Cricetulus griseus: one gene and its partners. Each later gene encodes a partner of the first gene's protein in a complex. Links are inferred from orthologs where the notes say so. Each region holds a gene or a part of one and is shown on either strand. Other genes may lie near its edges.

Evidence for each region. The genes of interacting proteins can lie anywhere in the genome.
Region 2: Uxt (region 1) and Pdrg1 share a complex: the UniProt entries of both Homo sapiens proteins name them as parts of the PAQosome complex. The link is inferred for Cricetulus griseus from reciprocal best matches to the Homo sapiens genes UXT and PDRG1.
Region 3: Uxt (region 1) and Asdurf share a complex: the UniProt entries of both Homo sapiens proteins name them as parts of the PAQosome complex. The link is inferred for Cricetulus griseus from reciprocal best matches to the Homo sapiens genes UXT and ASDURF.

The regions. Positions count from the first base shown.
Region 1 is NC_048604.1:125,813,283-125,817,522, reverse strand, and holds the start of Uxt (protein UXT), read left to right. Parts: upstream 1-1,432; 5' UTR 1,433-1,526; exon of another isoform or gene 1,527-1,703; 5' UTR 1,704-1,713; coding exon 1,714-1,811; intron 1,812-3,583; coding exon 3,584-3,665; intron 3,666-3,803; coding exon 3,804-3,871; intron 3,872-4,139; coding exon 4,140-4,240. UniProt on the Homo sapiens protein: Involved in gene transcription regulation. Acts in concert with the corepressor URI1 to regulate androgen receptor AR-mediated transcription. Together with URI1, associates with chromatin to the NKX3-1 promoter region.
Region 2 is NC_048599.1:26,995,298-26,999,342, forward strand, and holds the start of Pdrg1 (p53 and DNA damage-regulated protein 1), read left to right. Parts: upstream 1-1,243; 5' UTR 1,244-1,333; coding exon 1,334-1,420; intron 1,421-2,850; coding exon 2,851-2,926; intron 2,927-3,907; coding exon 3,908-3,982; intron 3,983-4,045. UniProt on the Homo sapiens protein: May play a role in chaperone-mediated protein folding.
Region 3 is NC_048595.1:402,525,319-402,529,313, reverse strand, and holds the start of Asdurf (ASNSD1 upstream open reading frame protein), read right to left. Parts: upstream 2,803-3,995; 5' UTR 2,695-2,802; coding exon 2,605-2,694; intron 983-2,604; coding exon 929-982; intron 1-928.

The DNA of each region.
Region 1 (4,240 bases):
GAGTCTAGCATCTAGGTTATCCTCCAGGCTCAGCCCTTCACTTGCTAAACATTTAAATAAAAATAGAGAGAATTATTCACTCTTAACTACAAGTTAGCCCATCTTCAGTAGAGGACTCCAATGATGGACCATATAACTATGATGTGGGGTGATTAAGCACAGCATTTTGCCAGTCTCTGCCTAAGTCTGGATCATGGAATGCAAGCAACCAAGCAGAAGTCATCCAAGAACTTCTTAAAATTTGTGTCTGTTTAAATATTTTTTATGTGCTCCTGCCCATTCCTTTTACGGAGGATGAAACCCAAAACCATGTGTGTGAAATATACGTGTATGTTTTGGGGTTTTTTGTTTTGGTTTGGTTTGGTTTGGTTTGGTTTGGTTTTGGTTTTTCGAGACAGGGTTTCTCTGTGTAGCTTTGGAGCCTATCCTGGCACTGGCTCTGGAGACCAGGCTGGCCTCGAACTCACAGAGATCCGCCTGCCTCTGCCTCCCAAGTGCTGGGATTTAAGGCGTGCACCACCAACGCCCGGCGTATGTGTTTATAAAATAAGCAATATTCAAATTTACCAATTGCCACAGGATATACTGCCCTCTTTATAGATTAGTACCATAATCCTTACTAGTCTATAGGCAATCTTGTGCTTTTTAAATTATCAAATGCTTATGTGAACTCAGTGAGGTTTGTTTGTTTGTTTGTTTTGCTAAAGAGGACTTGAAGGTGGAAGGGAAATGAGGTAGGAGGGGTCTGGGTGGAGTTGGAAGGAGGGAGTAGGGAGTGGATATGGCAAAAATACATTGCATACATGTTATGAAATTCTCAAAGAATAGAAATGATTTTAAAAGAAAAAAAAAAAGGTGGGGACTACATAGATGGATCTATGGTTAACAGCACTGGCTATTCTTGTAGACGCCCCAGGTTCGATTCCCAATGCTCACAAATATTCAGTAGCTCCAGCTCCAGGGGATCCGACGCCCTCTTTTAGCCTCCACGGGAACTGCACGTACATAGTGCACACGCATGCAGACAAAAAAGATAAAATAAGAAAAAAAAAACAATTAAGACCGGCGAGAAGGCTACAGAAATGGTTCGGCATTTAAGAGCACAAAAGGTTCTTGCAGGGGATGTGAACTCCGTTACTACCACCCACATCATGGGAGCTCACAACTGCATTTAACTCCAGTACCGCTGCCGCGCTCGCTCAAACATGCGCGCGCGATTCAAACAAGCTGTAAACGATTTACTCCCTCTCCCTACCTTCCTGTGCGTCCAACCTCCCTCAGAACCCGGCAAAGCTCATTAGACTTCACCCGAAACAGCTACCCGCGGCTGTCAACCACTAGCCGGCTAGCAGACAGCCCGCCCTCTGACTTCCTAGTATTCTCCAGGGTTTCCTTAAGATCCCGCCTCAGCGCTCCACTTTCAGGCGGTCTCCTCTCATTCTGGACCGCCCCTCCATGCTGGAAACACGTCATCCACCCGCGCCACCCGGAAACCGCGGTTCATTCTAACCTTAGGTGGCCCTAAGGTAAGCACGGCGCTTGGGTACCGGTGAGTGACTGCGTGTTAGAGTCGGGTTGGGCAGAAGGAGGAACCCCGTAGCATGAGCCGAAAGAAGTCATACCCAACGTTAAGAGGTTGGAGAGAACTTTGTGAAGTTAAACAGGAGCACTCAACGTGGTTTTTCTCCCTCCTCACTCCCCAGGAAGCCTATCATGGCGACACCCCCGAAACGGCGGGCCTTGGATACTGTAGGAGAGAAAGTGCTGCGGTACGAGGCCTTTATCAGTGACGTACTGCAGCGAGACTTGCAGTGAGTGACAACGCAGATTCTAGGCGTGACATTTGAGAAATTCCACGTGGTGGGTGGGACAGAATCCCGGGAAAACTTTCGGATTGGCCGGGAAGAGGGGTTGACGTCCGGGCTGCGATTTGGTTGGAACTTGGCCCTTGTAGTGGAGCCTCTGGCGTCGTTCGTCGGATTAAAATAGTCATAAAAACCCACGACATTTCTGACTGGGCCATTTAGCCATTACTTATGAAAAAGTTGTACATCACCTCTCCTCTCTGTGCTTTATAAACTTTGCTCATCTGTGGAATGGGAAAGTTTATGGAGCCTTCTTAATGTGGTGGTTTTGAGTTTTAAATGTGTCTACCCAGGTAAAGAATGTAACCCAAAGCCTAGACTGATAACACAGGACTGTAATTCCAGCACGAAGGAGGCAGAAGCAAGAGGATCTTCGAAGTTGGAGACCAGCCTGGAATATAAACTTGACTGTCTCTAAAAGGGGGAAAAAATTAGAATGAAGCCAGGCTCAGGCTCTGTGGTGCATGTCAGTAGTCCTATCTAGTGGAGAGGTGGAAAAATTCATTTCTTTAGCCAGGATGTTCAAGCCAGCCTTAACAGTAGAACATGGTTTTGATAAAATAAAGCCCAGTGTTGTGACACAGGCTTGTAATCCCTGTACTTGGGATGGGTGAATCAGGACGATCCAGAGCTCAAGATCATCCTCAGCTATATTTCAAAGATGAGTACAGCCTAGGCTCTGAGACTGTGTCTCAAAAAAAGAAGACAATGGAGCCAGCAAGATGGATTGCCTTGCTTCCATGTCCTGAGCTAGCTCTCTGGGATCCACATAGTGAAAACAAAAAAACTCCCAAAAGCTGTCCTATGACTCACATGGGTGTACCACGGCACCCATACATGTACACAAAATAAATACATTAAGTAAGAATACTTTTTAAAACTTTACATAAACCCAACTATACTACAGTTGTATTAAGGCTGAGAGGAAAGAACTGTCTTGTGTACTCACAAGTAGCCTGGGAAACTCAGTTCTTGTCTCAGAAAATAAAAAACAAATAACCTGGATAGTTTTGAAAAGGAATTTAGCTCCGGTGGATGAAACATACTAAAAACTCAATAATTAGATGATTAGTATTGCTGTCATTATTAATGTGAACAGAAAGTTTGGAACTAGAGCAGTGTGAGCATGGAAGGTATGTGTAGGGTGAAGATGGAGCATTTTAATTGGCATAAGGCACTGAGTACAATGCAGTATTTGTAATAGTGATGGATAGAAAGGATACAGTGTTTACCATTTGGCTGGCATTTTATAGTAAACACTTGAGTCTAATGGTTCCTATGAGGTAATACTGTCATCTCTATTTTATATGTTGTGAAACTAAGTCCCAAATAGGTTTCCTAATGCCAAAGTCACATTGCTAGTAAGAGTTAGAGCTCAGGATGAAATACAGTCTGACTTGTATTTATTGAAATACTTGGTGTGTCTTTCTCTGTCTATACTATGCGCTCGCTCGCTCTCATGTCTCCGTGTGTGTGTGTGTGTGTGTGTGTGTGTGTGTGTGTGTGTGTGTGTGTGTGTGTGTGTGTGTAACACAGGATCTCACTATGTAACCCAGGCTGGTCTTGAACTCATAATCTTCCTGCCTCAGTCTTTCAATTACTGGGATTACACTCGTGAACTACCATAATTGGCTTAAAATGCCTTTTAGGCCATGATGTGAGATATCTCAAGAGGAATAGGGCTGCCTAATGATCACTCTTCTATTTCCACGTATCAGAAAGGTGCTGGATCATCGAGACAAGGTATATGAGCAGCTGTCTGTATACCTTCAACTGAGAAATGTAATTGAGCGACTCCAGGTAAAGGCTTTTAAATTGGGTATCAGTTTGTATATGTGTACAAAGAAGGAAGATGGGAAGAGAAACCCCAAAACAAAACCTTTTTCCTGCCTTAAAAATTGGCCACTGACACCTACTTCTTTTCTCCTGGCCCTACAGGAAACTAAGCACTCGGAGTTATATATGCAGGTGGATTTGGGCTGTAACTTCTTCGTTGACACAATGGTGTGAGTGTATTCCCTCCCCTCCGAGTTTCTTCCTTCTTTCATGCAACAAGTATTTCTTAATATGTTCTATATACCAGACTCTGGTCACTTTTATATTGCACTAGGATGTAAGCTACATGCTGTGGGTGTGAAGTGAATGAACATGAAATACCGGCCCTTACAGAGCCTTAACTTTAGGGAACTGGAGGGAATAGGAAACACCTTCAACTATACAATGTGCTAAATGGTAATAAAGACTTCCTCCACTTCCTCTGACTTCTTTCCTCAGCCCAGATACTTCCCGCATCTATGTGGCCTTGGGATATGGTTTTTTCCTGGAGTTGACACTGGCTGAAGCTCTCAAGTTCATTGACCGAAAGAGTTCTCTCC
Region 2 (4,045 bases), on another chromosome or scaffold:
ATCCTGCTCCCAGCCTAAGCCTGCAGCTATAAAACTTAACAGTAATGACCCTATTTATACAAAAGAGGCCATGAAAATCAAGTGAGCCAGTGTATTAAGGACCTAAGTCGCCAGAAGTCAATAAAGGAGACTAAAAAGTGAACATCCGATCTGGGCCTTAGGGCTCAGTGAGTATGTGTTCACTCTGAAAGAATGAGGCCCTGGGTTCGAATCCCAAGCACCCACATAAATAAAAATCCAGACACGGTTGTGTGGGACTGTTACCTCAGCATTGGGTACATACACAGAGCTCACTGGCTAGCCAGCCTAGCCCAAAAGCGAACTTCTGGTTCAGTGAGAGGTTCTATTTCAAGGCAGGAAGGTGGAGAAAGACAGGAAAGCAGCTGACACCCTACTCTGGCCTCTGCATGTGTCTGCATGGACACAGGTGCCCCCACACTTACATGCATGCACCACACACACACACCCCCACACACACACAGCACATACACCCACACAAATGGCATACAGCTCAGTGGCAGAGCTGAGCGTGTGAGAGGCACTGGGTTAATTCCAGTTATATACACAGATAAGCAAAATGGCATCGGCGAGGCAAAAACTCCCAGGCCTCGCCTCTGAGCCCCCAGCTTTGCAACTGTACTCTTACTGACACTTCACTGCTCACCCTGGACAATTTCCAGCTCCTTCTGTGTGGGTCTCAGCTTGCTACTGAGGACACTGGATTCAACAAACGCAGCAGCCAGACGAGATTTAAAATGATTACTGTTTCCTTTTCATCTTCAGGAGAGAGAGAGAGTGTGTGTGTGTGTGTGGGGGGGTAATTTTTATCACCCATTATTTACAAACCAGAAGCTGAAAGTATCACCGGTTAAATATAAGTCTCCCTGCCACACTCGGTTTCTCGGCGTCGTTAAACAGGACTTAGGATTTCTGTGTCTCCAAAGCTCTTAACTCTACCACCCATAATATGTAACTATTTTCCCATCAGTGTTCGTTGTTTCCTACTGGGACGACATTTCTAAAGTCGGGATGTTTTACTCCTTGCTCCATCCAACGTGGTACACGGTGGATGCTCAACAACCCTTTGAAGGGAGAGCAAAGAAGGCAGCGCACTGGGCTGCTCCCTCAGAGACTGAAGGGGGCGCTCCTGTCCCGCTCCCAAAGCTAGACCCGCCCCTCCGGCGCCCCGCTGATGCGCATGCGCCACCCCTCTAAGGGCCCTTTTTTTTTCACTGCGCAGGCGCGCCGGAAGTCCTCAGCGCGGCGCGTGCGTGGATAGAGCAGAAGGGGCGTTGAAGCGGTGCCGAAGGTGTCTTGAGAGCTGTGTGTCGCCATGCTGTCCCCTGAAGCGGAGCGGGTGATGCGGTACCTGGTCGAAGTGGAGGAGCTGGCCGAGGCGGTGCTGTCGGACAAGCGGCAGGTGAGAGACGCGGCGGCGGCTAGCTTCGTAAGCAGGCAAGCGCGCGGGGTTCCGGAGCGAGCGCCTCCTCTGCGCTGGGCAGTAGCCTCCCTTTGACCCTGTCCCTGCGGGCCCCCCGGAACCTTACCCTCTGCATGCGGCTTCCCCGACCCCCATCGTGAGTCAGGTTGCTGAGACCCGAGCGGCATTTGGCTGGACGGTAGGGTGACGTGGAGTGGGGCGGGGGAGGCTGGAGGGCCTCGTAGACCCGAAAGGGGAGCTTGGCTCTGGATCTATGATTAAGTGGTGAGTCTCCAAAGGGAGTTCTGAGTGCTGAGAATGTTATCTTTGGATTTTGATTGATTGATAGGTTGGTTTAGACTCTAAACTTTAGAGGGACTCATGTGTCTTGGGGCTGGCCTCGAACTCACTGTGTAATCTCGGATAGCCTTGAACAGTCCGTGTTTGTCCGCCCTCCTGAGTTCTGGGATTATAGGCGTGCATGCACGGGACTTAGGTTTTAAAAGTCTTCTCTAGCTGCTAACTAGTGTGCAAAGAACCATTGAGATCAGTGGTTCTCAACCTTCTAATGCTGCAACCCTTTAATACAGTTCATGTTATGGGTACCCCCCCCAATAAAGTAATTTTCGTTGCTACTTCATAGTTGTAATTTTTTTTGGGGGGGGGAGACAGGGTTTCTCTTTGTAGCTTTGTAAACCAGGTTGGCCTCAAACTCACCAGAGATCCGCCTGCCTCTGCCTCCTGAGTGCTGGGATTAAAGGCATGTGCCACCACCTCCCGGAACCATAGTTGTAATTTTGCTGCTGTTATGAATTGCAATGTTTTGCAGTGATCTTGGGTGACTCCTGTGAAAGGGTTGTTCGACTCCAAGGGTCAAGACCCACAGGCTGAGAACCACGAATTTAGTTATCCAGATCTGGATTTGGACCAGATGTTAGTGATGGGGTGAGAAATATACTTTGGAAATGGTCTCCAAAAGCTGCCATAGTTACTCCTGTGGTCTATAGTGAGAAGGCCTCTGTGGTTCACAAGCAGCAGGATTCCTGTGGACTCCAGCCCCAGAGTCATTGCCTGAGTAGCTGTCATGGTGGTGTACGTCCATGTCTGGGGAGACTGTTAGATTTTCCTACAATAGCCTGTCAACAATAACTGCCCAGGGGAGACACTAAACTCTCTGATGACCCTGGTACATGCTCAGGTTTGAATTGGGCTGTGCAAATGATTCCTAATTGGTAAACTTTTTCCTAGCACCTGCTCTGGAGGAAGGAGGCTCCTGTACAGGCCGAGGGGCTGGCAACTGAGTGGGTAAAGAAACACGCTCATGCTTCAGTCCATGTTAACCAAGACATTGGCCTCCAGCCAGGAAGGATTCCTTGTCTCTTCAGGTTGGGGCGGGAGGCAGCTGAGTTCCTATCTGCTTCTGTTTTCAGATTGTAGACCTGGATACCAAGAGGAATCAGAACCGAGAGGGCCTGAGGGCCCTACAGAAGGACCTGAGCGTCTCTGGTAAGTTGTAACATCCTCACTGAAGCCCTGGAAACTGATGCAGTTCTCCTGTGAAGGCCTTTGTTGTCCCTGCTAGAGAGCAGGCAGGAGGCTGGGACTGTGTGACTCAGCCTCACAGGAAACGAAAACAGCTTGTGGGGAAGAGCGGGCAAACGTTGCAGGTCAGACATATGCTGTGATTCAGGATCTGAGCTGCTCACTTCAGTGACAGGCCATTAGCTTATCACTCATCAATGGCACACAGCACTTAGAAGCAATAATAGATCTGCCCTTATGTTCCACATGAGGAAAAGCAGTGTAAACATACAACTGAAAATTGTGGAAAGCTAAAGATGGAGTTGGCCATGAGTGGATGTTGAGACTGTCTAGGAGGGAGGAGATGGGGCTCTTTAGATGAGCCAGGTGGCTGTGACTTTGGCAGTGTGAGCAAGTGGGGGACAACCTGAAGCAGTTCTGGAAGGATGGGCAGCATTCAGGGCATAATGAAGGGCACTGACGTCCATTCCACTGGCTGCTTATCTCACCGGAGTAAAACCCAGAGTTGTCCTGCAGGATTGATTCCACATGACCCCGCCCCACACACTCCACCATGTTAGCCCCCACTTTCTCACCCACTCATTGACCCACTGGTCTCTTGGTTGTTCTGACACCAAAACACTGCCAGTTCTGGCTGTTGCCATCCCTCTGCCTGGGCTCTGCCCAGGTGTCTAGGGAAGATACCCCCCCCTTTCCTCAGTTCTCTGCCTGGATGTCACATCTGCAAAGAGCCCTTGTACCTCTCCTGATGCTTCCCATCACTTAGCACTATGTGGAAAAACAACTTGTTTATTTACTGTCTTTTGCTTTGTTATGAATTCCACAAGGGCAAGAACTTGTCTTGTTGGGCTATGTTCTTAGCATCCAAACAGTGCTTGGCAGATAGTCAGTGCTTCAAAAAGAAGAAATAAAACGTGTTGAAGTAATGTCTGTTTGCTATTTCAGAAGATGTGATGGTTTGCTTTGGGAACATGTTCATCAAAATGCCTCACCCTAAGACAAAGGAAATGATCCAGAAAGGTAAGGTCTCCTGGAATGTTCAAGGACATGGTCACTTCCCTACCAGTCATTATCCAGAATTGA
Region 3 (3,995 bases), on another chromosome or scaffold:
AGAATTTACAACATCAGGACATGATTTGCATAGTGATGCTCAACAATCCTATTATCACTTATTTTTGAGCTTCAGTAATATTCAAAACAGCAATTTATCAAATATAAACAGATACAAAGCCACTCGATACTTGCCACCTAGAAAGGGCTGTTTGCATAGTATGTGCCATTATGTCATGTTACTGTCAGTGACAAAGGCTACCACAGCCACAGGGTTATAATTTACTCTTATAAAACAACATGGAGACCTTTTCTGATCAATGAAGGTTCTTTATATTACCACACGGGCACAATACTATAGTTCTTTGCTGCTGTCAAACTTCAGACATTTGATAGAATGCCAATTCATGATTATTACAGATTGCCACTGCAGTTAAATGCCCATGTGTTTTCACGACTGTTTGTTTATTCATCAGTTACTCTAAAAGAAGCTCCAGGTCAAGTCTCATACAGCGTTTATACATTCTGCCAATCTGGTCTCCAGAAGTTTTGTATTAATTTGCCTTAGTTCTAATATTTCATAAATGACAATATCAGAAATGTTGAAAATGTCAGTCATTTTAAAATGCTTGAAAGAGAACAAAATCATTTCTTCATTTAAGATATATTTTTTTAACAGTAAAACTACACATGAGACAGCAGTTTATTTATGAACATGTCATAAAAAAGGAATTAAATAGGTTAAGTTCTTGGAGCATTAAAGTTTGCTGTGGAAAAGGAAGTAATTGTTTCTTTTTTTGTTAAAAATGTAATAGGGAAAGAATCCTGTCAACTTTGAGATTTACTGATACATGCAGAAAAACATGAAAAACAAACTAGGATACTTTAGTTTTAAATTAGTATGTTAGAATTTTGTAATTTTAGCATAAATGATCTAATTCCTGATTTTAATATACTGTATACTATTCCGGATTCCAACAGTAACTTACCCGATTCTTCTTCAGGTTAGAAAGTTCATCCACAAGAATTTTTTGTTCTTTAATCTATTAAAATAAAGAAAAACCTAAAGTAGACGTTTTCAAAGTATGTTTGGTGAGGAAATTCTGAATAATGGGACTGGGGGCTGTCACATACCACCTGTCTAAATGGACACTCTACAGGGCAACAACACCCAGCTGGACTCCGTGGAAAACAGCTGGAGAAGGAAAAGCTGACTTAGACTTGCCAGCTGCCAGTTACCACATGGCTTATACCTTAACCAAAGTGAGCCACTGTTCACCAAAATCAATACCCACCCTTTAATTAGTTTTATAAAGTTTTGTTGTACACTTTTTAAAAAAAGAAAATGAATGTGTTTCTCCCCTTCCCCAACAACAATTACTTTTCATGTATGTACTAGATGATAGCCAGACATTCAGATAAATAGTATTGGATGCCCTACCTGGGGAGATACAGCATCATTTTTCATCTTTGCATCATTCTGTTTGCATGGCAAAGACTGCATACTGCTGTTATCATTAAGCTAGGCTTGTTTGTGACCATCAAATGAATGCCTAACTAGGCAATAACTAATTTAAGTAACCACACACCATCACACACAGTAATAAGAAGCAAGGTCTTTTTTAAAACTCACACCCGCCCTAGTGAGTATGCATCCTTATGTCTCCACGATGGCAGAGGTGAGAGTTATAGTGATGAACTACAAAGCCACACGAGTTCATCTTCCTTGAGACTCAAGTCTGCTTGTATGGTGTTTTATGTTCATTTTAGGAAAGACAGGTAGACATCTCACTTTAGCTGACACCAAAGAAAACTGTGATACAGTGGGAATAAGGTCACTAACCCAAGATGTCACTTGGGACAGAAAAAAAAAAATGTAGAATTTAAAACGTTTAATACTCTCCACTATACATGTTTAAAGACTGTCTGTAATTGGAAGTTAAGATTAATGGTATAGTTCAGCAAGGTGGTGCAACCCTGAAATCATGGCTGTCAGGCAAGAGAATAAGGTCATGCTCCCCTCTCAAACAACAGTGTTTGCGCCTGGCCTGAGAGACACGAAAGCTCAGGAAGGAAGAAAGGAAGGAAGAAAGGGAGGGAGGGAGAGAGGGAGGAAGGAAGGAAGGAAGGAAGGAAGGAAGGAAGGAAGGAAGGAAGGAAGAAAGGAAGGAAGGAAGGAAGAGAAAAGGGGAGGGAGGCAGACAAAGATTAACTTGCAAGAGTCCTACTTAGAGACCATCAGATAAATGTATTTTAGGATCACAGTGGAGGACACAGGCAGCTGGGGACACCCTGAGTCAGAACAGCCAGTGACAGCGTCTGGAAGGACACTGGCAGATTTCTAAACTTTCGGGATGGATGTCAAGGATGGCCCCCAGGCGGGTGCGTAGCTAACAGGGTGAAGCAGATCCACAGAGCAACAGATCCGCGTGAAGGGAAGGGGGACGGTAAGGGGACAGCCCCACCAAACCTCCGCCAGTGTCTCTCCCCCCCCCCCTTTTTGGGGGACAAGCTTCTGTGCCTCCCTCTCTGCAAGTCTGCAGGAAGGAGGGGCAGCCTGAGGCGGGTGCCAAGAACCGACTACGGAAGCGAGGAGCACGCCGCCGGGCTGCCGGGCGCCGCCGGGAACCCCAGCCGGAAGGCGCTCCCCGGCCACCCACCGCACCTTGCTGTTAAGGGCCTCCGTGCGTGCATCCGACTTGTAGGGGGGCACCGGCGCGGCGCGATAGTCTGCTCGTACCCCACTTCGGGGCATCTCCACGCCGGGTCGCACGCCGGTGAGCCCACGGGGATGCACGCCGGTGAGCCGCCGGGACGGAACCGAGGACAGGAAGCCCTGATCCGGCGTGCGAGCTCTCAGTGGACCCGCCCCTTCCGGCATCCCGACCAATGGAGTACGCACACTCACCCCTGCGCAGTAGAGGGCGGTTGGGGGAGTATGGGTGGGAGACTAGACATAGTTATGGGCATGCGCAAACTGGTTTGAACTAAAGGCACAATTGCCTGGTTGCGGAGTTTATGAAGGCTCTGTGTCGTCCCCTAGCGGATCCGATGTATAATAATAATAATAATAATAATAATAATAATAATAATAATAATAATTATTATTATTATTATTATTATTAAAAGGTTCAGGTGAGCTGAGTGGAGACATGAGTATCTGGATCAGTCCAGGTGAAAGCAAAGATATTTTGAGACCAGGTGTGGAGGGGTATAGAGAAAAAGGCATCCTTAAGGTCTAAAACTGAGAAGTGAGATGTCGGGGGGATAGTAGAGAGGAGTGTGTAAGGGTTAGGAACCACAGGATGGAGGGGCACTACCATAGAGTTACGGAGGTCCTGAACCAGACAAAAAGTCCCATTAGGTTTTTTTACTGCCAGTATAGGGGTGTTAAAGGGGGAGGAGGTAGGACGAAGTAGCTTTTTCCTTAGGAGGTCAGAGATAATAGGTTTAAGTCCCTTAAGGCTCTGGAGTGGGAGTGGGTACTGAACTTGAGCAACGTACCTAGAGGGGTCCTGTAACTGAATGACAAGGGGGGATGGTGTCTAGCCACAGAAGGGTTCTGGTAGACCTTGGGGTCTACCTGAGAGGCTGGTAAAGGAAATGACGTACTGGAACCTGTAGGGTGAGTAGCTAGGAGGAGGAGGAGGGGAGCCGCTGGCGAGTCTGGAGTTGGGCGAATGTGGGGAGCAAAAGAAATAGAAGCTCCTACCTTAGCTAGAAGGTCCCTCCCTAGTAAAGGCACAGGACAAGTCGGTATAACCAAAAATGAATGAGTAAGGGGAATCCCCCTAAAAATACAGCTAAGCGGTGGAGTCTGCTGAGGTAAGTAAGGCTGTCCTCCTACCCTGACAATAGGAAGACGAGACAGAGAGGTGGGTCCCCAAAACTCCTTTAGGACTGAGTATGTGGCACCAGTGTCCAAAAGGAAAGAGATAAACCGCCCTGATACTTTAATGTCCACCCGGGGCTCCCTTTCAGAGATGATGGTGGTCGGGTCAAGAGAGCCTGGGCCCTGTCATTCATAGTCCTCATCCATAGCCAGGGCTAAGAGAT